4 linked regions of the Astyanax mexicanus genome follow. The protein of the gene in region 3 purifies or fractionates together with the protein of the main gene of each other region. This does not show direct contact. Links are inferred from orthologs where the notes say so. Each region holds a gene or a part of one and is shown on either strand. Other genes may lie near its edges.

Evidence for each region.
Region 1: the proteins of lmna (region 3) and parp1 purify together in Homo sapiens (affinity purification with western blotting; 3 studies listed by BioGRID, with this or other methods). This does not show direct contact. The link is inferred for Astyanax mexicanus from reciprocal best matches to the Homo sapiens genes LMNA and PARP1.
Region 2: the proteins of lmna (region 3) and hnrnpm fractionate together in Homo sapiens (co-fractionation; 3 studies listed by BioGRID, with this or other methods). This does not show direct contact. The link is inferred for Astyanax mexicanus from reciprocal best matches to the Homo sapiens genes LMNA and HNRNPM.
Region 4: the proteins of lmna (region 3) and histone H2AX purify together in Homo sapiens (affinity purification with mass spectrometry; 3 studies listed by BioGRID and IntAct, with this or other methods). This does not show direct contact. The link is inferred for Astyanax mexicanus from reciprocal best matches to the Homo sapiens genes LMNA and H2AX.

What each region holds. Positions count from the first base shown.
Region 1 is NC_064408.1:79,680,219-79,688,060, reverse strand, and holds the start of parp1 (poly [ADP-ribose] polymerase 1), read left to right. Parts: upstream 1-4,825; 5' UTR 4,826-4,937; coding exon 4,938-5,060; intron 5,061-6,034; coding exon 6,035-6,197; intron 6,198-6,752; coding exon 6,753-6,868; intron 6,869-6,995; coding exon 6,996-7,210; intron 7,211-7,218; exon of another isoform or gene 7,219-7,618; coding exon of another isoform or gene 7,619-7,842. Other genes in the region: adenosine receptor A2a-like, read right to left, coding at 7,619-7,842. UniProt on the Homo sapiens protein: Poly-ADP-ribosyltransferase that mediates poly-ADP-ribosylation of proteins and plays a key role in DNA repair.
Region 2 is NC_064423.1:14,799,216-14,806,064, reverse strand, and holds the start of hnrnpm (heterogeneous nuclear ribonucleoprotein M), read right to left. Parts: upstream 3,015-6,849; 5' UTR 2,849-3,014; coding exon 2,811-2,848; intron 962-2,810; coding exon 789-961; intron 1-788. UniProt on the Homo sapiens protein: Pre-mRNA binding protein in vivo, binds avidly to poly(G) and poly(U) RNA homopolymers in vitro. Involved in splicing.
Region 3 is NC_064413.1:40,511,611-40,518,884, forward strand, and holds the start of lmna (lamin), read right to left. Parts: upstream 3,012-7,274; 5' UTR 2,903-3,011; intron 1-2,902.
Region 4 is NC_064408.1:15,369,032-15,374,958, forward strand, and holds histone H2AX, read left to right. Parts: upstream 1-4,671; 5' UTR 4,672-4,767; coding exon 4,768-5,196; 3' UTR 5,197-5,399; downstream 5,400-5,927. Other genes in the region: phospholipid transfer protein C2CD2L, read left to right, coding at 361-614. UniProt on the Homo sapiens protein: Variant histone H2A which replaces conventional H2A in a subset of nucleosomes. Nucleosomes wrap and compact DNA into chromatin, limiting DNA accessibility to the cellular machineries which require DNA as a template.

The sequences.
Region 1 (7,842 bases), on a different chromosome or scaffold from region 3:
CCAGCAGCACAAATTCATAAATTATTTCATCCAGCCACTGCTACTCCACCTTTATGTCAAAGATACATTTAACACGACATATCCACTCCCCTCCTACTTTTTTCTTTCCTGAAAGTTTCATTGGCTATTGTGGTCCTGACATCACATGATCATTCTGGGGTAATAAACATACGTCAATAGAATAAAACAAATCTCTATTGTTTAGCTAAGCATAATTTCACAATTTCCTAAAAATAAGCTTGTGTGGAAAATAAAAATATAATGTGACACAACAAAACAAAACAAAAAATTACCATGCACAAGTTCTTGACTACTTATTTTTTTTAAGTAGGCATCAGTATCTGTATCTAAATACTTGATATCTATGCATCCCTAGTGATTTATGTATAGAATATGTTTTGTATATTATATGGACATATTTTATGTTATATTTCTTGTTATAGATTGAAACTTGAGGAAGGCAAGGATTAACCAGACTGTAGATTTTGAAAGGATTAATGCCACATCTTGTGTTTACTGTGTACTCATACGACAGCATAAAGGACCATCACAGATTCTTCCAAGAAATGCGACAATCCAAAGGTCCATTCATGTCATGGAGATGTTAACCATAATGTTTGTGGGTGATAACAGGTTGAGAATGTTAAACTTTTCAACAAAAAAAAAAACAACATTTCTGCTGAACTGTTGATGAAAGGCATTACACTGACATGGCAGGAACTAGTTTAGTGTCCCATGACTTTTGCCATGTCCCATAAAAAGTTAAGGAATGCTGAACTGACCAGCAGCATGTGTGTCTGGGGCCTCCTGCATTAAATGTGTATGTTCACTCTGACAATTCTAGCCAGACACCACAGCGCTGTCCACTGTGGGTGGTGATGCCTTCTATATCATATTCCTGATACACATTTGACACTGTGGATTGAGGAATGTCACACACTCAGAAATGGATTGTCACATCCGTTTGACACCTAATACAAGACCTTGCTCCAAACTCTGGTAATTTATATCACATTGTTATGAGCACACTGGCCAATTGCCTCACTCACAAGATAATACCACACAAATCATACAGGTGTGGGTGTTCCCAAGCAACGCTTCATGATCATTTTAAATTCTGCTATCCTATGACTTGTGGCATGTACGTGTAATAGGCTGTCTGACTCACCTAGGCTGCCAATACAGCCTCAGATTTTTCCTAGATTTTTGAACATTGCTGTGAGGATTTTTTGCGTGTGTTTAGACATTTGCATACACAGTGATCTGTGCAAGCAAAGCCAAAAGATTTAATATTAATTCTGTGTCAAATGCATATTTTTGCTTCCTCATTTAAGAGAATATCCACTTGATGGCAATGGCAGTCTGAAATACCTCTCTCCTCAGATACATACTGTATATTTACATTGTCAATATTAATATTGTAAATATTTTATATGGAACATATTAAGCACATTTTATCATTATCATAGTACATGTAGAATACCATAACATGTTTGCAAAAGATCATTTTTAAATACAATCTTGTTAAGTAAATGTAAGGTGAGGCGAGATAAATGATAGGAACCCCTTTCCTTTATACAGAAATAAGGAAATTGCTGCTGTAATTACTGTAAAGTCTTCAAACTGTAATGTTTGACCAATACTGTATGTAATGCTCATTCAAATTGTTTTAGTATTAGATCTTTGTCATTTTCTTAATCAATTTTTATGCATTCTTGTGCAGTGAATTTCAGTTGACTGGATACACTCTTATAAAAGGGGTTCATCAATGGTTCCTTAGTAAAATAATTGATTCTTTATAGAACAACTCTCCATGGACATGACCACAAGAAACATTTGAATGCTTAAGTGGGTTTTTGGTAGTGTAGAGTTTTCTTCACAGTGATGGAAAATCAAAAAAATATCCACTATAATTATAAATTAAAGAACTATTTTGATAAGAGTGTAAACAAATCACACGTCTTCATTTACTCAAATTTACTGGACTAAAAGATTCTCTGGCTGAGACCAATTAAAAAAAAACATAGTGATATTACTTTATTTTGACTTTTGACTCTGTTTTATGTTACTATGTTTAATGCAGTTTTGTAATGTTCATCATTTTTAAACGTCAGTGTCAAAATGCAGCAGCCATATTTATCTTGCCTTGGAGTAGAAACTTATGAACAGTGAATGGATAATTTCTCTGTAGATTCCTGTATATTCTCAGACCATCAGCAGCACCCATGTTTATCAGGACTGCATGCCTTCCTCTAAAGTCGCTGTTATAATCAATGCTGTAATTACTTACCCATTCCAATAGTTTATTTTCTACTGAACTGCTGGTGCAATCTGTGACAAATTCTATGTTCAAACTGGCAATGTATCATCTAATTATCACATAATAAAATATGTTACATAATGAAAAAAAAAATGCTTTTGCTCATTAAGACTGCTGCAAAGTGTAAACATACCCTATACACCATGAATTCAATCCATGCTTATCATCTCTTATCATCTCATCATTGCTGCACACTATGACAGTTCCTGAAAATTATATTATAAATATTTAAACCCTGTGGATTTATCTTGCAATGATTTACAGCTGTTGCCCTTAAACAGTCAAGTGAATTAGCTGTCTAATATTTCTTTGTAATAAGTGTCCAGAAATCTATCAGTCACTGGAGGTTAACCTACTTTATGTGGAAAAAAATGTATCTATTTATCAGGATCCCACAGAACTACCACACGGCAAGTATCAATTGGGTGATGGATCATTCTCAGCACTGCAGTGACACTTGCACGGTGATGGCAAAGTTGATCAGACACAGCAGTGCTGCTGGTGTTATTAAACGCCTCAGTTTTATTGCTGCACTGACAGGCCTATAATTGAAGAATAGGGTGAAAAGAGATAATAAAGTATACAGACAAACAGGAGGACTAGAGTCTATATTATTCAATATATATTATATAGAGTCTATAATTACACTATTTAGCACTGTAAAACACAAAACGTAATATTGTTCTCTTTAATCAAAATTATAAGCCAACTAAACAAGAAATAATGAATGGCGCCATAAAATATAGCAAACTAACTGCCTTAACTAACATTATCAAGTTTCTTGTTAGAAGTTCGCCTAAGTAAATCATTTGTGTTGGAAACTTTACAAATTGTAATAGTTGAAAACTACTTGAGGCCAAGCCAACTACTCTGCACACCTGATGTTGTTTGCATATTCGGCGTATCCTTCCACCTCTCACTCACTATCAGTGTGTAGTCATTCTCTAAAAGGTGTCTTTTCTTGGAATTTATATGTATATATTTATATGTGTTTTATCGTAGTTAACTGCCTGGTCTCAGTTAATGACATATACATAACAGTCATAAATTCTCAGTTGCCAACTTAAATTCACAAAAGTATTGTGCTCCTTATGTTTGTTGGATTTATGATAAAATATGTGATTGACACAAGTTAATTGTTCTAGTTGATCTTAAAGGATAGTCAGCACGTTTTATAGAATCTAAATCAGGCCAACTAACAGAACAAATTGAATTTTTAAGTTGGTGAGTCTTAATAATAAAGTTTTTTATGCATATAAAAAAGATTATCTGAACTAAAGATTTCTAGATTTCTTTTTTCAAAACTTAAAAGTTTGAGTTCAGAAAACTCCAGAGAACTCGAACGTCCCAACTAAGCTTCCATAATATATTTGCACTGTAGTAAAATGCTTTCATTTTTAATGTGCATTTATGTACCATCCTTCTCCTTTACTTGCAGAAACAATGCTGTGCGTCGATCACCTGGCCAGTGTTTTTTAACCAGTCGGCCGCCGCCCCCCAGTGGGACGTTGAGGTACTGCAAGAGGGTCGCAGGTCAAAATGAATATATATTTATTTATTTTGCAAAGTAAAAATTCTTCCAATATATAGGTAATTCAGAAAATGTAAAGTAAGATGTAGCAGAAATTTATTCAATTTACAAAACATGTTTAGGTCGAGCTCGTTGATGGTTTCATGGAGTAAATTATTAATACAGTTTTTGGGACAAGAAAATAATGAAGCTGCAACATCTACAAGTGCAAGCATAAATTAAACCAAGAAAAAACAAGAAAAGCAAACATAAATTAAAATTAACAAATATAATAGGCTCCATGTTCACAGGAACCAAATAAAAGAAAGCAAATAAAATATGATTAAAGGTTTTGCGGTGCATACACACATATTTTAGGAATGCCAACATTATTAAAATATTGGAAAAACATGCAAAATAAAAAAAGCCTAAATCTAGAATTCCTATTAGAACCATTATGCTTTATTTTGACAAATTATACCAGAGGAAGTAACATAGAAACCAGATATTAATAGCAAGAATTCTTCTTTTGATTGCTAAGTAAATTAGTTGATAGTGGAAAACAAATAACATAATGGAGGGAAGGGGATAATGATTTGTATTTAATGAAAAACATGCTAACCTACAAAAAACTACAATTAAAAACTGAAAAAAAAAAATTTATAAAACAAAAAAAATATTTCTGACAAAATAGCGCCCAGTTTTTCAGTTATTATACACGTAATGTATGTATTTACTTTTTTCTGTACTCTTAGATATAGCTGCATTTTTTCTTCCTTAAGGAATTGTATAAGGGCTTTAAAATAAGACATATTATACCTGTATTGTCCTTAAAGCACAAATGTTAAACAAAAAAATATGTTAAAAAGTTTTGCGGCGGGTTACCCTGACACAGAGGACAGAATCACTTACATGCGCTTCAGATCCACGGCGGTGTGGGGGTGCTGGGGCTGACCCGCCTCTGTGACTCTGAGCTCGATTAGCGGTGTCTGAAACCCTCATTGTGTTGGTGTCGATTGGTGAGGTCTGGTATTCTGCGCGGGCTGGGATTGTTCAGTGTTCACTCTGAAGCCGCTGTTTGTGTTTTTGCACAGTTGAATATTGGAGATGGCCGATGCGCAGGACGACAAGCGGTACAAAGCTGAATATGCGAAGAGCGGGCGAGCCTCCTGTAAGAAATGCAAGGACAACATCGCTAAGGACTCTCTGAGGATGGCCATCATGGTGCAGGTACGGAGCGCTGCACGCCGTGCAGGAGGAGCCGGAGCCGGGGTTTAAACAGTGTCTGAAACACGGGTTTAAAACCCCGATTAGTGTAGTTAATTAATTATCCCGGGCCTGTCTCTGAACTCACCACATTCACCACAGGGCCAGCCAGACTCTCCGCCTCATTTAACGTCTTATTGAGAATGAATTTTATACCGTTCCACCTTAAACGTTGCCCGGTAACACTGTGGGCCCACAGGCGGCAGCGTGTAGCTGATACGCCATTTAAGGTGGAACCGAAAATCACAATAACAAGCATGAGAAAGAGGAACCAGCAGCTCGAGCTGTTCCAGGCCTGAGTCAGTCCCGCTGCATGAGGCGCTGCAACTGGCTGCCTATCAGCTAAATAAAGGGATGGATGTTTATTCTAGTTACTGCTTTAACACAAAAACACTCCTAATGGAAAATACATTTACAACATGTTACCAAAGTATTGTACACTCAGTCTCCTTCAGAAAAAGGATATTTGACCATACCATTTTTCATTTTAAATTATTTTACATTCACTGCTTTTAAGTTGTGTGTTTTATTTTATATTAAGTGTAGTTCCACAGGTTTAAAGCACTGCAAAGGAAACAAAGGAATTCAGAGATTTAGTGAGAACTTAACTACAGGAACTCTGCTTTGTGTACAGTGGGGGTGTACAGCTTTATAGCATGTTAACATACTGTAAAATACTGTATAACAGATCAACAGTGAGCCTACACAAGCCTGTATTTACTCTTGTTGTTAACTATTATCTTGAGCATTTATTTCTACATAAAGTTTTATTTATGTATTTAAAATACAAATGCATTTTCTGGTGCTTTGTTTGTTTATGATGGTAAGTTGTCTGTTTATGTCCAAATAATAAAGTGTTTGTAAGTGGTCATTTGTCTCAACTTCTTTGGTTGCAGAAGTGATGAATGAAATTAAGGTTTTTGTGTTTTACTCCACAGTCGCCCATGTTTGATGGAAAAGTTCCACACTGGCATCATTTCTCCTGCTTTTGGCATCGAGCTGCAGTGCAGGCGACCTCAGACATATCTGGCTTTACCGATCTCCGCTGGGAGGACCAGGAGAAGGTGAAAAAAGCGATTGAAGGTGGAGGCGCTCCTGGAGGTAATTGTATTTTATTATTTAGATAAATAAGACAAAGCACAATCTTACCAAACGAGCAGTATAACATGTTCAGTTAGTTAGAGGGTGTCATAGTAATTCGGGGAAAAAGAGGAGAATTTTGCTTGAACAGCAGTGTTTTTAACACCACACAAAAAGAGTGTTGATCAGCTCCATTTACTTTTAAGTCCACCACCTTCCATAGAAGAGAAGCTGCATCTCTGGTTGAAGATTCTAGATTTAGTACATTTAGCCAAACATTCTTGCTCAGAGAGATGTCTGTTATGAAGCTCCAGTAAAGCGTCACAGCACCTGATGTTTCTGTCCCATCTGAACCTTGTAACTGAGATTCCACTTTAAAAATGATCAGATCAGATGTATGAACATTTGGGAGGATGTTTTTTTAAATTCAGCTATACATACATATATATATATATATATATGTATATATATGTATATATACAGGAAAATAAACTCTCGGAAGTGGACATGGTCTGAATAAGTTGTATACTGGGCAGTGGTATAGATCATTGTTTCTGTATCTTTTAATTCTCTCAGCAAAAAGTGATCAGAAAGGAGCCGCTAAAGGAGAGAAGACGCTTAATGACTTTGCAGTGGAATATGCTAAATCCAACAGAAGCACCTGCAAGGGCTGCGATCAGAAAATTGAGAAGGTACATTACTGATGCCTTTATATATTATTGTTTTAGCAGGTCATGACTATATTTGAGTTTTCATTAATGTAACCCTGCTGAAATTAAGAATTGGTTAAAACATTTTTACGACTTTGCTATACTTCAGGATCAGATTCGTGTGTCAAAGAAAACAGTGGACCCCGAAAAGCCTCAGTTGGGCCTAATCGATCGCTGGTACCACACAAGTTGCTTTGTGAGCCGGCGTGAGGAGCTGGTCTTTAAACCTGAGTACAGTGCAGCTCAGCTTAAAGGCTTTGCTGCCCTACGAGCCGAGGACAAGGACGAGCTGAAGAAACGACTGCCTGCTGTTAAGACTGAAGGGTGAGTGTCAGCCTGTATACTAATCATAGTGTCTTATGCAAAATACAAATACACTTTAACAATTGTATTGTTGTTTTTGTAATGTAAAGTACAGTTCAGTTTTATTTGTATTGAAATCATTGCAGAAAAGTTGTTTTTTTTCTCTGCACAGTCACACTTTTCATTCAGTTTTTTTTCCAAAATATGATTGTATGCATATTATTTTAGTTCCCATGACTTTGCCTGTAACTTTTGTAAGCCCTATTATGCAGTGTAGCAAGCAGTTCAGTAACTGGGAATGACATATGTTCTGCTTGAATGTTAAAACGTTTTTAAGCCTAAACAAAATCATGAATCATGTTTGAGAAGTTATAGTTATTACAGGAAAAATTAACTGCCTCAGGATGTTTGTGTGTTTGTACCTCCACCCTAATCCTCTCCATCTCTGACACCTCTGAAGCACAGGAAGATTCCCTTGAAGGCTTCTCTGAAACTCTTCATCTTGTAGGCATAGAGGAACGGGTTGACAGCTGAGTTAGCATGGGAGAGGATGATGGCAGTGAGCAGCAAGGGCAGGGGCACAGGGCAGGTTGGGCACAGTAGCAGAAAGCAGTTGATCACATGCAGCGGGATCCAGCAGACAGTGAAGAGGA
Region 2 (6,849 bases), on a different chromosome or scaffold from region 3:
CTCTGTAGACCTGTACCCCAACAAAACTAACACGCTTCCAGTCAAGGGTACAATATGAAGATCTGCTGTGAACACATTCATTCTGGTATACCTAAAAAACAGAGAATGCAATTTAATTCTGCAAGCAGCAATTTCCACAATGACACGAAAGATATTCCTCATGCTTGCACACCATAGGCTATGAAGAATGGTCAAGGCATTTATTTGTGCAATAGCCTACAGATCGTAACTAAATCTTTTCTGCAACAGAACTTGCTCTTGGGGTATTGACTCCACCCTAAATATATTCACACACAGTTTAACAGCCTAGTCTTTAAGCAAGAAATTCACCAAATACTATAGTGCCATTTTAAGTAAAAACAGCCAAACAAGGCACGGCTGAATTTTGAATGCATTTTTGCTCACTCATCTTAAAACTCAAAAGAACAATATGAAAGATTTCCCCAGTCATTTAGAAGAATAGGTAACAAAACCTCAAAGCTCAGAGCAAACTCTCCAAGCCTTGCACATCACTTAGAGTGCCATTACTTCCAGAATGGAATTTAAGGCACTACCCCACTGCAACCGCAAATGCTGCTTGAACTGCACTGCTACACAACAGCCTTCCATTTGAAAGCAATATCCGACAGAGATTTAGATATAGATCTGCCGGTCTACAGTGCTTGCTACTAACAATAGTTTAAGACCACCTCAGTTTCCAATTTTTTTTCCAAAATCTAGAAAGCAAAAGGGGGCCTAGTCCCCCAAACTAAAACGACAACTCTCTACCTTGAACAGCTGAAACTTACCTTTGTCTTTCATAAGGTCTTTCAGTGCCTGCCACTTCACATCATAGGGAATGTTGCTCACGAACACACGGTATCTCTTGGCAGGGTTGCCATAGGGCTCAAATCTACCCCCTCCACGCTTTGATGACCTTTCCTTCCTGGGTTCATGGCCGGCCTTTCCATTTACCGCATTTCTAAAAGAGAAGAAAACAATAAATTAACTTTAAGCAAAAAAGTACATTTTACAGCAATAATGAAGACAATAGCATTTACAAACATAAATGGGCAGCATATATAAAATTTAGTTTTAGGGTATTTATAAATTTATGTATCTGTACTTTGCTTAAGTGTTTCTATTTACTTGATCTTTATTATATTTCAAGACAAATATCTTGACAATTTTTGTTTTGCTTCACTACATGCAAAACATAACTGACCAGCAAAATCCTGAATCCCTACAGTGGAGCCCCTGTGCTCAATCAGAGAAAACCACCTGGGCTCTTTTTTTTTTTTTTTTTTTTTTTAATAGGTTGGATCAGCTATTCATAAAAAAAAAATATTAAAAGTAAAACAAGTTATGAGTTTACACTTTATTCAACCCACAATTACTCGTACCTTTTAGATGCAGCTAATGTGTGCAAACATGCTCTAAAAGAGGCTCAGCCAATTGACAAGAGAACAAAAGATCATGACCACGAACCATAAACTTTAATGCATATCTATTAGTTAAATTCTGAAAGGTTAATTTAAAAGGTATGCCGCTATGTAGTCCTGCCCTCTTTTGGGCATGCAGTAAGCTAGATTAATTAATTAACTTAATGGTTCAGATATTTTCAGCGTAATCATTATCTACTTCCAGTACAAATGAGCTGGGTTAAGCTAGCTTAGCTGCTTATTTTGTTCTATGTGAGTGATAGATTTGGCTATAGGTACGTTAAGTGGTTTAGAACAGAGTGCACAGATTCAATGCGGGTCCTCGACTGGCTTTGTTAGCAATTTAGCTTAGCTCACGTTACTGTTTTTAACGCTTGCGTAAGCTTACACAACAGAAGATAGCTAATTTAGCTTAAACATGTTAATTAGGTTATAAGTTACTTTTGAAGTTTTAAAATCCCAACTACCAATTAATATGCAACATTACAGGTGGCTTTTTATACGGTAACGTAACTAGCTGTTTGGGTTTACTGTAGCACTAGTTAACTAACATTTGGCCTTTAAAATTCCAGAATTTAAGTAGATATGCATGAAAGTGAGGTATGCATGTTATTTAACATAGTTCTGTTTTCATTTGTCGTGCAATTAGCTTTAGTTAGATTAACAATTTAAGTTCAAACAGCGGAACTTTTTCAGGACCTCATTAGCTAACGCTGCTTCCTGTAACTTACAATTTAGCTAAACGCTATTAGTTTAGTTTGGTTACATGACTGGTCACATCGTCCAAGGCACAGTGTAACGTTTTATTTTGACCTATTGGAGCAACAAACACTGAAAAAGCGTAACATAAGATAGCCGGTTACTTAGCTAACTAATCTAGGTTGGCTAAACTTGTTAGCTACCAAGCTAACAGAATCCGGGGGCATGGCTGGGGGCCTTTATTCTGAAGCTAACCATCCGACTAGCTCATATCGCGCAGTTCATAAAATGTTGCTAACTCACTTCTTACCATGATTTTAACGTATACAATAAACGTAGTTACATGTAGCTAATGTTAAGCTTGAATAAACTGCTGATAAAACTGTATTTAGAGTTTTTTCTAAAGCTACGAGGTTTAGAACAGTGCGCACGCATTCAAATGCGGGCCCTCGCCTGGCTTTGTTAGCAATGGTTGCTAAGGTTGTCTTGGAGTCGTGCACAAGCTTACAAAACAGAAATTAAATGTTAGCTAGGCTACATAGCATAGCTAGCGTAAATATTTGAGATAAATCTCAGCTAGCAATTCATTTACTGTGTTTACGTAGCTAGTTAATGCTATCGCTAATTAAATAAATAAAGAATCACAGGTTAGTTAGCTGGGTTAGCTAAATTAGCTGTAGCGTTCGTTACCCCTGGCCTTGTTTCTCCGCTACACCTTCAGCCGACATCTTCAGCTTTTCTTCTCCTTTTCCGACAGAAAATTAAACACAGAAATCTTCTGAACTCTCAGAAAAGCGGCTCGCTTGCTGTAACGGCGCAGTTCTCCTCCTTTTTCTGCAGCTCGGTCGAGGTGGACGAAATGGCGGCAGAAGGGCAGCGAAATGGATATTTGTGAACCGTGGCACACCCGTTTTAGGGTTAAACCCGCCTTCTGCTCCACGCGCAGGGTTCAGCATACCACTCTGTGATTGGCTGACAGCTCTCAGTGATGTGTGAATGACGCTTAATCTGTCCAATAAACAGGGCGCTTGTCTGAATACGGGTGGGAATAAATTAACATTTTAAAAGCGCATTCACAGCATGGAGGAAGTAACGTAGTAAAAGTAACAAAGTCTGATTTAAAGTGTTGTTTACAGTTTTATAAAGAAACCATTAGTATTTTATACAGCCACATGCTTTAACTGGATGAAGAAACAATTTAATGAAAAAAGTTTTGATGGAACGAAAGTCCTATACTTTTAACGCAAAATATAAATTATACTATTAAATGAGGACAAGGCAGAAGATTTATTTAATCTGATTTACATGTAACTGTGTAAAATTTCTTAAACTTCTGTATTTATTGCTTTATTTCTTTTTTTCATAAAATCTTTTAGTGCACTGGTGCTCATTATCTTTGGTTTGTTTGTTGATATTGATTAATGTGCTATTTTCCTGTATATAGCAAATACTTTGAATCCAATAAAACATTAAATAGTAAAAAAAAAAAAAAAAAAATTGAAAACTTTTAAAAAAAGTCCTTTATAAACTATTTATAAACCCTTTATAAAGAGCTAACTAATGCTGTCGTTTCATTATGGCTTTTATTTTTTAAGTGTTGAGATTTGACTAAAATATGTAGTCTTGTACTGGTTGATAGAAAGTATCAGTCACTGCATCAGTTCGGAATAAAATCAGTTGTTTCTGATTTGCATTGAGGGAGCTCTACTTTAAAATTCAAATTAATTAAACACATCTTACTTTCTATTTATTCAGACTATACCTTAGCAAAATGTTAATGTCTACTCTAAAAGAGATCAGGAAGATGATGATGAAACAGAGTCAGGGTGGTTAACGAGTCCAGAGCATCATTTTTAATTTGCTTTGCACACTTTTCTTGGCTGATTGCAAGCACCAACATATTTTGGTGAGGACAATACAGACACACCTTTCTTTATCCACTGCACTACATAAACATACAGTTTCTCAGAAATGGGTTTGAGTGATAAAACCCCGTGCTGGATGAGTAAATGAAGACATCCATTGCAAATGATACATGAATACATTAAAACACAACAACATTAAAATAAAACAAAAAACAAACTGTGTACAATGTTTACAATTGCTTATCATTTTTTCTTAGAGAGAGAAAAAAAAGAACATGATTGGTCTTAAATATGATTAGTCCAAATCCAGAGATTGATAGAATCTTTGAGCGCTTTTTATTTTACTTTTTTTAATCCCTCTGAAATGTATAATATGGAAAAGGCAAGAGCAAACCATTTCCAATCACAAATCTGTGAAAGTGCAATATGGCTAAACAAAAAAACATAAAAATAATAGTAATAATACAATAAATGCATGCATGTTTCTTAGGTGAAAAGAAGACAGATTGGGTCAGCTGTATTCATGTTAAAGCAGTACCCTCTCAGCTGCTTAACTCTTAACTATACTTGCAGGATTGCATAGTGGAGGGAACTATTAAACATGGGAGTATTTATAATTAAAAAAAAAAATCCAACACTGTTTTCCTTTTCTTGTGTGAATGTAGTCCTATAATCCTTCATATACATCTATATAGGAATAATAATCTTATGTGTACTGTTAAGGTTATAGGTAAGAATTGCATTGTAATATTATTGAAATTGCACTCTAGCTTTTTTTTATTCATTTTTTTTATCACCCCACATTGCAAAAAAAAAAAAAAAAAAAAACAGGACATGTCCCAGAAGGAAAAGGAAAAGGCAAATATGTTAGATGGAGGCACACCAATAAAATAGTGTTACTCAGAGCAGGTGAAAATGCACTTAGCTGCTGATCTGAGAGCAGTTCTGCTGTGTTCGGCATTAGAAGTGCAATTTCGTCTGCAAAAGGTATGATTATAAAAACACACAGGAGTTTTTGCCAACATGTATCATTCCGAAAAATAAAATAAAAAGTAAAATTACAATTAAATGTCAAAAGCTTGTAGTATATCTATTGCACGCCGTTATTCCGAAATACACCAATGTCAGAGGAGAGGATTGATTTAGAGTGTTGAGTGACACTTCACAGCTGAAAAGTAAACAATAAACTGCAGGTGACTTTTACTGCGCTGGTGTGGAGGAGGTGACCAGTGCTAACAGGACTATGAAAAGGTGAAGGGTCTTGATTTACATTATAGGTTTTTTACATTATCTTTTTTTTTTTTTTTTTTTTACCTCATCTACGGAAGCGAGCACCTTTTTTTTATGTCTTGGTTTCAACTCATTCATATGTGGCACAGCACAAGTCAACTGCTGCTCAGACTGGTCTGAGGTCAGGCCAGCCATCTGTAGTACGTATTAATCCAACCAGCACAGCAGTCGATTAGAAGATTTACATCCAACATACACACACACCAACACACACTCAGACAGACTCTCACACCCTCAAAAATGTAATAATTTAGGTGCTAGAAAGAGAGGTTCTTTGAGAGATGCCGTAGAAAAACCCAATGACTGTAGAAAACATGGACAGCACAATGCATCTCAAAAGTGAAGCCACCACAGCTTTGTTTTTTTTTTTCTGTGCCAACACTGGCACATTTTTTATACAGAAATAATTTTAAAAAAGGCAGGGTTACACTTTGGAATTCAGGAATTGACACCAGTCATCTGCAACATGCTCTTTCTGCGAATTTAAGTGATATTTATACATTTAAACTTCTGTGTAAACTTACTAAAGAAAAAAGTACACAAGTCTGAATATTTTGCTTTAATTTCTACACTACAATTTTTATTGGACCTATAGCATAACCCACTGTTTTTTTGTTCTATTTAAACCATTTTACCCAAAAACTTCACCAGACACAAGACTTCCCCATTGCCGGCAATAGTTAGAACATTATAGAAAAATGAGGATAACTGCATGACTCATTAGAAATTACTTGGCACCCAATTTGCTCTGAGGAAAGCACTGAATACTCAGCTTCACTACATCAGCCAACAGATGCCGGTGCGTTATTTAAACTTGTGGTTCTCAGGAATCTTAAGTTCAGCATTTCTGTGCCCAGCATCCATGTTTCCTAACAGTCACTAGAGAAAAATCATCCTTCGTTTCATAAAGAACCATATTCATAAAAGAGGCTGAAATTGAGTATGACGAACATTTTAAATAGGTAAATAACCCTTTAAACATTTAAAATGTTTTCCCTATCTCTCATCTCCTTTATGAAACTAATAATGCCATAAATCTAAGGCATCAATCAAAGGACCCTTGGTAGAACCTCTACTTGTGAGAGGAGAGATACAGACATACAAACATACATAAAACATACATACATACATACTACACACATCATTCACACCTGGACTGTATGCATCTTGAGTGGCTTCCACAGACTATACACATTTACAAATCACGTCCGAAATGTTAGTGTTAATTCCTGGACGTTTCATTTTCTCTGGACCTCCACAATTCTACACAGTCCATCTCTGGTCAAAGGAGAGCAGATCAGGGTAAATATCAGTGACAGACATCTTCAACGTAACAAGATACCAAGCTACCAAGCTTTTAGAGCAGGGACCGAAAAGTGTTCTTCCATTAGACATGGTCCCTCATGAACTGCATATAGGCCTTGCTTGCTTTGGTCAAGAGGTCCATAAAGCCTTTAGGAGGAGGAGGAGGCCTAGAATCAATCATGAAGATACAATATGCATCCGAATCAATCCAACATGAGGTTTCCCTTTAAAAGTTAGCTCTGATGGTTGGTGGTACTGTTTTGCACATC
Region 3 (7,274 bases):
AAGAGTATGTGAAAATGCCCCCTCAACTGCCCTATAAAAAGGTTCCAAGAGGGTATTTTTGGGCAGTGTACCTCTTGGCGAGAGATAATTGGCTGCTAGATAATGGACTTCTTGCAGCCACTTATGCTACTGATGGCAGGGCCTTCAATTGGGATTTTCAAGAAGATAATGTTTGACCACATACAACCAGCGTTTCCCAGGAATACCTTTAAAAGATTGTAACACTTCCTTTGCCTGCCTGGCCATCAGATTTTGGAATTCATAAGACCAGCTGTGATGTTTGCTTCAATAAAAATGTGCAGGATCTACAGGCCCAGCTGCAACATATGCTGACAAATATGCCACAGTATGACATATGGAAAGTGTATGCCTCCATGCCCGAGTTTTTACTGAGCTTACTTGTACATCCTTTCCCAAAAATGTATAATGAAAGCTTTAAAAGGCCATACATGCTTTTACATGCTATTTTAGGTCAATTCAATCTGATATCTTCATGAATAATCAAAAAAATCTGCAGGCAAAAAAAAAAAAGAAAAAGATAAAAATAATAATGATGATGATGATGATGATGATGAAGATGATGATAATGATGATGACAGGCCTAGGCCGGCAGTGGGCAGTCCTAGTCTGGCAGTGGGCTACAGTCGGCCCTCTAATGTTAGGGAGTGTCTTCCCGGCAGGGCTGACTCATTGGAAAAGTATCATCAGAACACAAGCCCTCTGAGAACCATGCCTACCAGCAGCACAAACACACACACAAACGTCTCTGTTCTCCAGCAGTCACAGGACGGCTTTTCCTCCAGCCTCCCAGCACCCACTACATTCCTCTCTACAATGAGGACGATTCCCCTGAGGAAATCCTTCCCAAACCACTGCCTGCATAGTGTATTCTGGATGTGAGCTAGTAAGCAGCAAAACTTTCCTAAATATAACACATGCAACTGCCTAGATTTTACATTTATAACATAACTAACATAAGAGCTCAGATTTAAAACTAAAAATATCCAATGCTACAAGACCTAACAGGCATCATCATCATAATAATACAGTACAGTATAGTACAGTATAGGGCTGTAAGATTAATGATATTTTTTATGATTATTGCAGTACAAGTTTAAATTGTAATTTTATCACTTCATCCACAAGGTCATTCAACCCGTCCATGAGAGAGCAAGACAAATTGTTGTCTCATGGACTGCTAATTTCAAGCAGCGTGATAAAGGATTCAAACAGGTGATCCTCAGAAAAAACTTTGAGGAGCTTCAACAAATTTAGGATCTTAATTTGTCATGTTTCGACATTAATATCAGGTTATCCAGCAGCATTATAGTACATCACATTTCTGTAAGTACAGTCTTTTGCAAATTATGATGTAGAATCATTGCAATTACAGGAGCAGCCTGGAGGCTTTATCATCCCCATCTAAAACAACATAATTCAGTGCAGTAAAACACTGGATTTCAGTAGAAATACAACAAACATTGGATCTGTCTTCTTGTTATTTAAAAAAACATACATTTTTTTATATACACATTGTTTTGGTGTTATAAACAATATTGTAATTATGGTTTTTATCATATGATTTTGCATCATATAAGCTCTATTTGTCTAAAGCATTTTCTAAAAATGCACTCCTTATATCCATTATAGTTAAATAAAGTAAAATAAATTATACTGGACAGATATAATCTGTCTCTAGTAGATATATAATGGGACATGAGTAGTGTGAATTTTAAATTAGCTACAAACAGCAAAAAAAAGTTGTACCCTGATGACTTATACGACCATAAAATAAGATTACACTATTTCTGGATGCACTTTGGCAAGATTATTGCATATGGTACAATATGGCACACCACTAGTGCTGGATTACAACTTTTTTTTGCATTATCTCAATAAAACAACATAATTCAGTGCAGTTATAAGAATAAGAATAAGTCCTATGGTAAGTACTGAGTCTTGTGTTTATTATTTTAAAAATGTTACTTTTTAACTTACACAGACAGATGTTTACTAACTGAATATATAGCAAGATTTATTATTAAAAATGAAGGCTGATTTTTTTTTTTACATTACACGTTTTAGCAGATTTATCAGATAAATTATACCATATCGTACATTGCCATTGACATTTACTATCTAAAAGCATATCGAGATATGAGATTTTTTTTTATCATATTGCCCAGCCCTACTTCTTAACAGTTTCATAAATTAGCCCTAACCTACACAACACAGGTAAACACAGGTAAACACAGAGCAGCACAGAGACTCAGATTTACACACAGATTTGTACAAATGATTAGAGAATGAGTGAGGAGAGAAGGATGGACAATGCGAGTCTGGTTATATGGTTTATATATAAAGTTATATATAAAAGCAGTGTGTAAGACTGGTGGAGGAGAACATGCCAAGATGCATGAAATCTGAGATTAAAAAACAGAATATTTTTCACCAAATATTGATTTCTGAACTCTTAAAACTTTATAAATATGAAATGTCTTCTTTGCATTGTTTGAGGTCTGAAATCTCTGCATCTTTTTTGTTATTTCGGCTATTTCTCATGTTCTGCAATGCAATGCAAATGCTCTAAATGACAATATTTTTATTTGGAATTTGGGAGAAATGTTGTCCGTAGTTTATAGAAGCAAACAACAATGTTTATGTTGCTCAATCATATACCTATAAATAGAAAAGAAGGTGGTCTGTATATATGCTGTATATATGCTATTTCTCGGGAAGGGCGAGCTCACAGTTTTGTTGCAATAGCAAACGGCTGAGTCACGGACTGACTACACAAACATTTACACCAAAGAACTGCAGCGTTTCTGGAGGAACACAGCCTGAAACACAAAGGAGTTAACCCTTCATTAGAGAGTAGGAATGAGAGAAAGCAGTGACTCACGGGTTCTGTGTCTCTAAACGCTGAAAACTCTGACAGCGAGGAATCTGCTGCCTGCCTCATGCCTCTCTCTCCACAGCCCCTCCGTCTGACTGACTGACAGAGCCGGCAGCGCCCCGCAGCGGATCATTACAACAACTGCAGCTGAACAGAGCTGAGCTTAATATTAAGATTAAATGACAAATATGTATATGTATGCCTTAGGGGTGGGCGATATGGCTCTAAAATGATATTTTTGCGATAACGATATAGGAAAACTAAAATATGAGGAATATATAATAATATATAATATAATAGGAATATAGTATAATAGTATAACAGTATAATCATAATGTGGCAAAATAAATAATATAGCATAAAATAATATAATGCAGCAAATCATATTGCAGAATATTTAGTGCATGCATATAAACTGCAAACTAAAACAATTATACAATAAATACACCTAAAGCTTCACAGTAAATAATAGACTACTTTTAAGACAGAAGATCTCTATTATCACGATATGGATTTTTAATATCATGATATTTCTGTGTCACGATATATTGTATACGATATAATATTGCCCACCCCTATTATGCCTTACACCTAACGATTTTCAAACGATTTTTCAGTCGCAGACAAATTTCCAGAGTCGGAATAAAATCACGAGAGTCTGGCTAGAGTCGAGCTGCAGTCGAGTCGTGGTCGAGTCATCTCGACCGTTCAGTGTAAAAGGTGGTTACAACTAAAAGTTATAGTCAGTCGAGTTCGCGTCCCAGCGCTCCGATAAAGTCAACCGTATTTTATATTTTATATTTATTTTTTAACCGTGTTTAATATTACCGCAAGTCTTGAGACTCGGCTCGCGCAAATAGTGACGTGAACAATGTCAACAACCAATAGGAGAGCTACGGGAAGAGGCAAGAAATTATGTCACGTGACTGTTTAGAAACCAGTTAAAAAAGAACACATTTTGCAGTTAATAAGTCTTATATGGTTCCTACTTTAATATATACATTATTTTAAACACAGGTATCATTTCAAAGTAATAATATTAAAGATTTTTTTTATTTTGCACCAGTTTGTCTTATTGTGCAGTGTTATTTTCAATACAACCAAGTTTAATAAATACACGTTTTGCAAGAATTAATTTTTTCACATTTAAGCTGAGTGCGGAGTCTAAAATCTAAAATCGGGGAGTTAAGATACCTATTAAGGAAACATGCTAAGTTTCTCTTGACATCAGTACTTCAACCAGAATGTTTCTTTCATTATCTATTAATAAAACTAATTAGTAAAAAAAAAAAAAACACTATTCCACAGCAGTACAATCAAATGAATACTGCAGTAATTTAACCTCCACATTTACCCAATGAACACTCAGGAGTAAAGCATAATATATTTAAAACATATTTTGGATATTTTGCCAAAACTATTACAATTATACATCTTAACTCAAAGTAACTTAAAGACTAATATGTCATATTATGGAATAAAAGTAATATAATAATAGATAAGTCAAACTGCTATAATAAAAAAGTAGAATGCACTAATTGTGGGTTCTGTACCAATATCTTAATCAGCCGAAGTGTGGAGCTGATACATACTTATGTTTTTAAAACGTAAAGAATTAAAATGTTTTCATAAAAAAAAAAATTACACATTGATGTAGGTGGCGAGTTATGCATAATGCTGTGTCATATTCATGTTAAATCCGCATTATTTACTTTATCACTTTAATAAACCACATTATTATTTTAATATCAGTGACAACTCTATATCATTTAAAAGAACTTCATGTTAGCATGTCATTCTTAACAGGGTGACTCAAGGTGCTAATAACCATTTCTATCTGTGAGTAGAGCTCCAGATCAAGAAATACCAATTATTGCATAATGTTGCTTTAAGTACAATAAAAAAGTATATTCTCTAGGTCGTCCTCAGACGAGCCTTCCATCGTTTCTTCCAGTCATCCCGATTCCCCATACATCTTTTCAATTCACTGGTACTCTGGGCTTCTGCGTCCTTCTTGAGTACGTCCACATAGGTTAGTGTGGGACGTCCTCTTGAGCGGCTCCCATGTGTCGGTTCCCATAGCACCAGTTTGCTGGCTGGCAATTCCTGGTGCCTATGGCAGTGTCCTGCAAGTCTCATTCGCCTTACCGCAATTTTCTCGCTCACTCTTGGTATTTCCTCGTACAGGGTTTGGTTGGTTACATGTGCATCATTGCAGATGTTAAGTACTGCACGCAGCATCCTGGTGTAACACCCATCAAGGGACTTCTCCAGAGTTGGCTTAAGTGTCCAGCATTCGCTGCCATAGAGGAGAACAGACTCTACTGTTGCATAGAAGAAGCACAGTTTTATTTGACGAGGGAGACTGGAGTTCCATACACTGGCCATACCGTTCAGAGCCCTCCATGCAAGTGCCTTCCTTAATTTTAGGTCTTGCTCAGTTGAATTGACCCATGAGCCCAGGTACTTGAAGTCATCAACTTCATTCAGCACAGTGCCTCCTGCTGTAATCAGGGGCAGATGTTCAGGCGGGATGTTGTAGGTAATGACCTCAGTTTTCTTCGCGTTTAACCTGAGGCCAACCTTAGCGCACTCTAGTTCTACTCTGCTCAGTAGAATTTGTGCTTGCTCCACGTTGTCAGAGAGCAAACTGATGTCATCCGCAAAATCAAGGTCTGTGAGGACCACTGCGGGGTATCGACTTGACTTCCTTGGAGATAGTGTGAAGCCAAGTTCCTGTTCCCTCCCATTAATTGCCTTCCTGAGCGCATAATCGAGTACTATGATGAAGAGGAAGGGGGCCAATGTGTCCCCCTGCATAACTCCAGCCAGGATGTCAAATTCCTCGCTGTTGCCGTCTGGGGTCACCACCTTGGCCCTTGTTCCTGCATACATGGACTCTATTGCTCGGAGTAGATTTGGGGGAATACTGTATGCCTTGAGGATCTTCACCATCATGCCTCGGTGTATTGAGTCAAATGCCTTTTTGAAGTCCATAAAGCATAGTACTGCTGTCAGGTTGTTCTTTTTCACCTCCTCAATCATTCTCCTTAGTGCCAGGATCTGGGATGTAGTGGTGCGTCTCTCTCGAAACCCGTTCTGGTTCTTCCTCAGAAGAGGGTCAATTGCCTGCCGGACCCTGTTTAGGATCATACGGTTGTAAACTTTTGCAATAGTGCATGTCAGGCTGATGCCCCGATAGTTGTCCGGCTTCGATAGGTCTCCAGACTTAGGCACTGGCACGATGTTTGATAAAGACCACGTATCAGGCAGCCGATTGTGCAGCAGGGCAAGGTTGCAAAACTCTAAAATGATGTCATCCATGTCGCAGTTCCTCAGCACCTCTGGGGGTATACCATCCGGACCAGCACTCTTTCCTGCTTTTACGGTGGTTTTTGCCCTGGCAAGCTCTCCGAGTGTGAAGGGGCCGTCATTGATGTTAAGGTTTGGGAGGACTGATTGTACTTCTTCCTCAGTTGCTTCTGATGGTTCTCTTTTTTTATTCTAGCAATTTGACATTTATTATTATATTAATTTTATTATATAATAGGATGTAATTACAAAATACATGTTAAAGTACATTTTAGTACACTGAACTATTATTGACTATTATTATTGGAAAAAAAGGTGATTGTTTACAGAAAAGTTAAATATTAAATATTAATAACATTTATATTCAGACATTTCATATAGTTAGTGAATTCAGCTACTTTAATGCCAAGTGACAGCCAAACCAGTATAAAACCCTGTGGAACTGGGCTGTGGAAAAGTACAACTACATTCTTTGAAACAAATAACTTCATCTAATACCTTTGGGATGAGGTGGAGTAGTGTTTCTAATCATCTAAAATTAGAAACAAACTGTGTGACCTGTTTAATGCTCTTGCTGCTGCACTTAAATCCACACAGCAATGTTCCTACATCTACTGTATAGTCTTTCCAGAAGACTAGAGGCTTTTACTTCAGTAAAAGAAGCACAGCTTCCTATAAATAGCCTTGATTTCAGAGAAAACACTGGACAAGCAGTCCAAAAAGGGTATACATCAGGGAGTAGCATGCAAGCCCAGAGTGTACAATATGAGAATCACTGGACGTAGTGTGGAAAAACCCTCTCTAAAGCTTTGTTGGTGTAATTTAATCTATATCAGTATAAGATAAACAATATAAGTGCTTCTCCAGCACCTGTGGAGACTCTTTCCTACAATCTAAAGCCACTTTGTCAAACACTGTCCTGCTGAATTGTATCGTGAACAGCTGAGAACAACAGAGCAGCTCTGTTTAAACATCCTTCCACCTGCTCCATAGAAAATGAAGTGTATAATAACGACAGGTAACACAAGAGAAAGGCTGATAAACACACAATGTTTCATTTGCAGTG
Region 4 (5,927 bases), on a different chromosome or scaffold from region 3:
TATTAATTTGGCCTACTAGAAAGTTAATCTAACTAAGTGCAAGTTTCGTAGTCTTAAAATTTTATTGTTAAAGTATTTTAGTCCTTGAATTTATAGTGAAGTCACAGTACAGTTTTGAGTACAATTCTATATTTATTAGGTATATATCAACACTTCTAATTTCTAATTTTCATTTTCTGTTCTTATATAAGTATATACGCACACTTGCCATCAAAACTGGGACTGTTGTATGTACTGGATTAGTACAGCTATGGCACCAAAAATATTCTAGTAAGTCCAGTGCAGGCAATCTACTAGGAATAAGTGTAGATCTGTGTGTCTGTATGAACCTTCACTTTCTGTCTCTTAATTTGCTTACAGTGGGCTTCCTCCGCAGCGGCACTAAGCTGCTGTTCCGCAGGAGGCACAGGCAGAAAGACCCCAGCTTTAGCCAGTCCCACGAGGACGTCTGCAACCTGGGCAACGACTCGTCCACGGCCTCCTGCTCCTCCAGCGGCCGCAAGAAATCTGGAAGCTTTTCACGTCGGCTCATCAAGCGCTTCTCCTTCCGATCATCCAAAACCAAGGGAAAAAGTAGCGCCACCAATGGAGGAGCCAGCACGGGAGACAACTGAGGCATGGGCTGTGAAATCAAAAAAAGAGAGAAAAACACTAAAGAGAGAAAGAGAGAGAGAGACACGGTGCGGGCGCCTGTCGAAAGAGTTTAGGGGCAGCTAGAGCATTTGGAACAGTTCATTTGGAACAAAAGGAAAATTGTGCTTCTTGAACAACTTTATCCTACAGAGACTTTTGGGACACGCTGGGAATATTTTTGACCCTTTGTGTTCGTTGTACGTAGGTATTTGACGCAAACAGCAGACGCTGCTTTATGAGAGTGAGGTAGATGCCTCACGTTTTGTTTAGTGCTGGAATCGCAAAGAAAAATGGGGGGGGGATAAAGGGATTTATTTGTGTTCTTCTGAAAACACCTTTTGATTGTGTAATGTATAATGTTAAATAAGAGACTTAAAATGGCTGCTTAAGTGGAGGAGAGGAGGTGGGTGAGTTGAGAAATAGTGGTTGAGTAAAATGCTGTAAGACTTGTTCAGCACAAGGGGGCGACATAAACCAATACTTATCAGAAAGCCTCCCGCATTATGTTGCTATTCGTTTGTTTGTTTTGTTTGTTTTTTACTATGATTACTATTTATTTAATTTTCATCAGTTGCACACTTTTGAAACTCTTTTCTGATTGTTTACAGTGGTGGGGAGATCTTCTTCATCAGTTTTATTATTTTTGTGTATTGTTTACTGTCACTGACACTAAATTATTCCTCCTTACCAAACCAAGGAGTCTTCAGTGGGTGAATTATGGTGAGGCTTATGCTGTGTGCTTTGTTGTTTTTGCTGTAGTTGATAGCGAGTTAGATCAACAGATATTTAAGCCCTGTTTTTTTCAAATTGTGGTTCTTCTTTGATTTACATTGTGGCACCTTCTTCTTTTATTATATTCATTTGTTAAAGAAATACACGAGTAGTACGCATATCTCACAGTTACGCTTGAGTGGAACAGAAATGGAAAAATAGACAAATTTAACTCAGATATGTTTATTCTTCTTAAACATTTCTAAAACTGATAATCAACACGTCTTTAAATCATGTCTAGTTAAAGTTACAGTAGGTTGGAAATGTATTTCAGGTTGAAAAAAAAACACCTCAGGGGATATCATGAACGGTTTCCACAAAATTAAATATATAAAATTTTTTCAAGACTACTCGAAGCTCGGACAAGCCCACACTTTATATTTCTTTAATATTTAGCTGCAATAAGATAACTCAGACTACCCTGAATGAATGGGGTCCCCTGCATGCATAGATGAGCAGACCTGAACGTGTAAATAATAGTGCTAACGTTTACGTTTTAAAAGTTTCACCTTCGATTTTGCATAAGAACATAAATAGGTGAAGGACGGCAGCTTAATTCAGCTTCTCATGGCTTTGGCTATTCAAAGGGAAATTATCTGACCACTCAAAGACCACAGCTTGATGGATGGTTCACTGATGTTTCAACATTTTTGCATAATTCAGTTTTAAGGTGTTAATGCTCAGTTGGAGTGGTTTATTGTGATGAGTATTATTCCAGAGAATCTTACTATAAAAAAAAATCCAAAAATAATCTTAACAACTAAATTAATGCATATATAAAAAATATAATATATGTTTAGGCCAAAAGCGTGGTTTAAAAATTGTGATATCTTTTTTATTATGGAGCTTTGAGGGACATTTTGAAAGCCATTCACCACCACTGTGGAAATTTCTCTAGAACAGCATATTTCCCAACAAACAAAATTAAATCATTCAGGTTAATGGGCTCTACGTGTTAAGAAAAACATATTGGGCGATATCAGGAAAACAAAAATACTCAAAGTTATGTCCATATATTATACAATGAGCTGAAAATGTAATTATTGTGAAAGGTCTACTTGGAGGCATTAAATACTTTGGATGCCCAGGTTTATTCACTACAATTATGAACAATTCTGACTCAATAAATTAATATAGAATGATCATTATCAGTTCACACCAAATATCAGTTCACACCAAACCACGCTGACACAGTTTGCTTACATCTTAATGGTAAAATAGGACAAAACATGTAGAAACATCAGTGGAATTCCAGTGTATAAATACAGTGCTGTGGTGTTTGATGGTGAAAGCTGGTTGATTTTGACCTGTAAGCTGTTTGTTTCTTATCCAGGCCAATAAAGTCATCATTGTCTTCTTTTTGACTCCTTAAATGACTTCCTTAAATCTTCCAGACAATGGCTTCAGGCACACACAGTCTATATTGCAGTGCATTCATTATTTTCAGAGGGTTGTTTGTAAATTAGCAATTTTCAGCTGAACATTTACAGGTGGGATCCTCTACTCTTTCTCCAGTCTTTTATCCCTTTTCCCCAAAAAGCCTGGAAAGCCTGAAGACCCCAACATTACACTGCTAGTAGGCCCAGAATGTCATTGTCTATGAAAACAGTGAGCCGCCTAAAGAGAAACAATGCCTCTCAGATATTTGATGCTTTATATTACTATGTGGCTACTTCAATGTTTAATTTATTCTGAATAAATTATTTTTGAAAATGCACTTGTCTCTGGTTTATTTTCTTCCAATCTGCCACTGAAAATAAGTTCTAAGACTTGCCTTGTTAATAAAGGTGTAAAATTTTAAAATAAACAATATATATTGTATTAGTTTGAGCTATCACACTGACATATAGTTCTTTAGTTACTATAAAAAAAAAGTTGCATGGCTGTCCAAAAAAATAGGGAACAGGCCTTCATTCATTATTTTTCTTGCAATAGAGATGGATTGATGTAGTGTAGTGTTGTGTTTAACAATGAATTTCATGTTATACCAGAGTTTGATTTCTTGGCTGAGCTAACACAACACACCAATAAAAGTCTTTAGACGTTATATATGTTTGTTTCTAAAAACTGGTCCTGATAGGAAAAGTATTGATACTAAGCTCTTTTTTATACAGTGCACTAAATATGCATTGTTTTTTTTTTAATATACTTTGTGGTGGAATTTTGACTGCAGTAAAAAATATGCAGAGCAGGAAGTACTACTGCCTCCTCTTTATACCTTTTTTTCTCACTATATCCCCATCCCCCTCTCTCTATCTCTCTGTCCATATACCCCCCTCTTTCTCCCTGTTTCTCTCTCCCCTACCCCCACTTCTCTCATTTACACAGACACACACACAAGCCATTTTGACTTTTTATAAAAAAAATATTTAAAAAAAGTATTTTTACATTAAAGTTTATGGATCTTAGCTTTTGTATTGAACCAAAAAATAAAATAAATATATTTTTAACATTTTATATGACTTATTTAATATATTTGACATATAAGTAAACTTAATATACGGCCTGCTTTTTTGTAATATTCATGTGATGAGGATTGCAGAAAATAAGTATTTTTAAAAGGCCAAGAACATTAATACATATAGACATACATGCATATTAGCTTTTGTATTTAATAAAAAATTGAATAAATATATATCTTATATTAATTGGTTATGTCATATATTTGATATAGTTTAAAGCAGTACATTTTAATGTACATCCTTAATTTTTAATAACCAGATGGTGGCACATTGACTTTGATGTGGGGTTATAAATAATATAAATATGCTTTCTGCTCCTTATTTCTTCATTAAAAAAACATTTTTAAAGTTCAAGAAGTGGATGGATATTAGTATATTAGTTGATATTGAATCTAAAAAAAATCTAATAAATATATAATATATAGGATGAGTTAAACTTAAACCAGATGTTTCTCATCATTCTGAATACTTTTACAATATAAAAATGCCTTTGTTGACTTTCCGCCAAAATACCTCGACTTAAAATTCAGAGGGAATACGTACAATTGGTTTGAATTTTCCGCTCAAAGTTGATGGACAGCGGGAGAGACCAATGGTAGCACAGTTAAACTTCGCCGCCCAACCAGAGTGCAAGATTGAACCGTAACGCTCTGATTGGTGTTTTACTTTGCGCTGATTATGCACAGCGGTTTTCAGCCAATGAGCGAAAACATCCTGTCAGGCTTTGATCACACGAGCCAATCCGTCCGCTCTCGGTGCGAGTTTGACGAATGGGAAGGTAGGGGCGGGCCTAAGCGCCCGTTGAGGCCTGTCCTTAAATACTGCAGCAAGTCCAACCCCACAACCAAACACCGATTTTTTTCTTCTGAAGCTTAAAGAAGTAAGCGAAGAACTTATCAACATGTCTGGAAGAGGAAAGACCGGAGGAAAAGCCCGCGCCAAGTCCAAGACCCGCAGCTCCAGGGCCGGCCTGCAGTTCCCCGTCGGCCGTGTGCACCGTCTTCTGCGGAAGGGTAACTACGCTGAGCGAGTGGGCGCCGGAGCCCCGGTGTATCTGGCCGCTGTGCTCGAGTACCTGACCGCTGAGATCCTGGAGTTGGCCGGAAACGCCGCCCGTGACAACAAGAAGACCCGCATCATCCCCCGCCACCTCCAGCTCGCCGTCCGTAACGACGAGGAGCTGAACAAGCTGCTTGGCCGCGTGACCATCGCTCAGGGGGGCGTCCTGCCCAACATCCAGGCCGTGCTCCTGCCCAAGAAGACCGGCCAGGCCGCCGCGAGCTCCAGCAAGGCGGGAAAGAAGGGGTCCTCACAGTCCCAAGAATATTAACTCAACAGAAATGGCGCGAACTCTGACTTGATAACACCTAAAAAACCAAAGGCCCTTTTAAGGGCCACCCATCTCCTCTGAAAAAGAGCAGATTTCACTCTGACTTTAACCTCCTTTACCTTCTATTTCCATCATCAGTCTTGTGTGGGTGTGTCTGTCTGTGTGCTTTTTATACGGTGAAAATAAACATGTCTAACTTGAAATTATTTGGGGTTTTTTTTCTGGACATCCTTGTAGCCAAAACTTGTTTCATTCATTTTTTGTTTAGCTAGGTTTGCTAACTAGCTAGCTACTGTGCAACGTGCCGTTTGGCGCTAGCTGATAGCATAGCCTCTCTGCTAAACTAGAATCTGAAAGTGTTGTACTGTGACTAAACTAAATGTCTTAATTTGACGCAAGGATCGCTTTAATACAGGCTTAAGTTGGCTAACAAAGCATGTAAATCTGTTATTTAATGATCATCCAGCTCCTTGTACATTAGAAACTGTAAGCTCTCCAACTAGATAACGTTAACCTATAAATTGTAGTGCAAAAGTGGTGAAAAAAACCCATGATTAATTATAAATAAGATCATTAGATTTTAATCTAAATATTAATAACGTTACCGAATTCATTGTGAATCTGCCTGCATGCTGACGCACAGTCTGAAAACTAGTGTAGCTGTAATTTATTGTCTTAATGTAAGTAAGCTCTCAAGTTAGGGACAAGTTGTAAAGCAAAAGTAGTGGGGC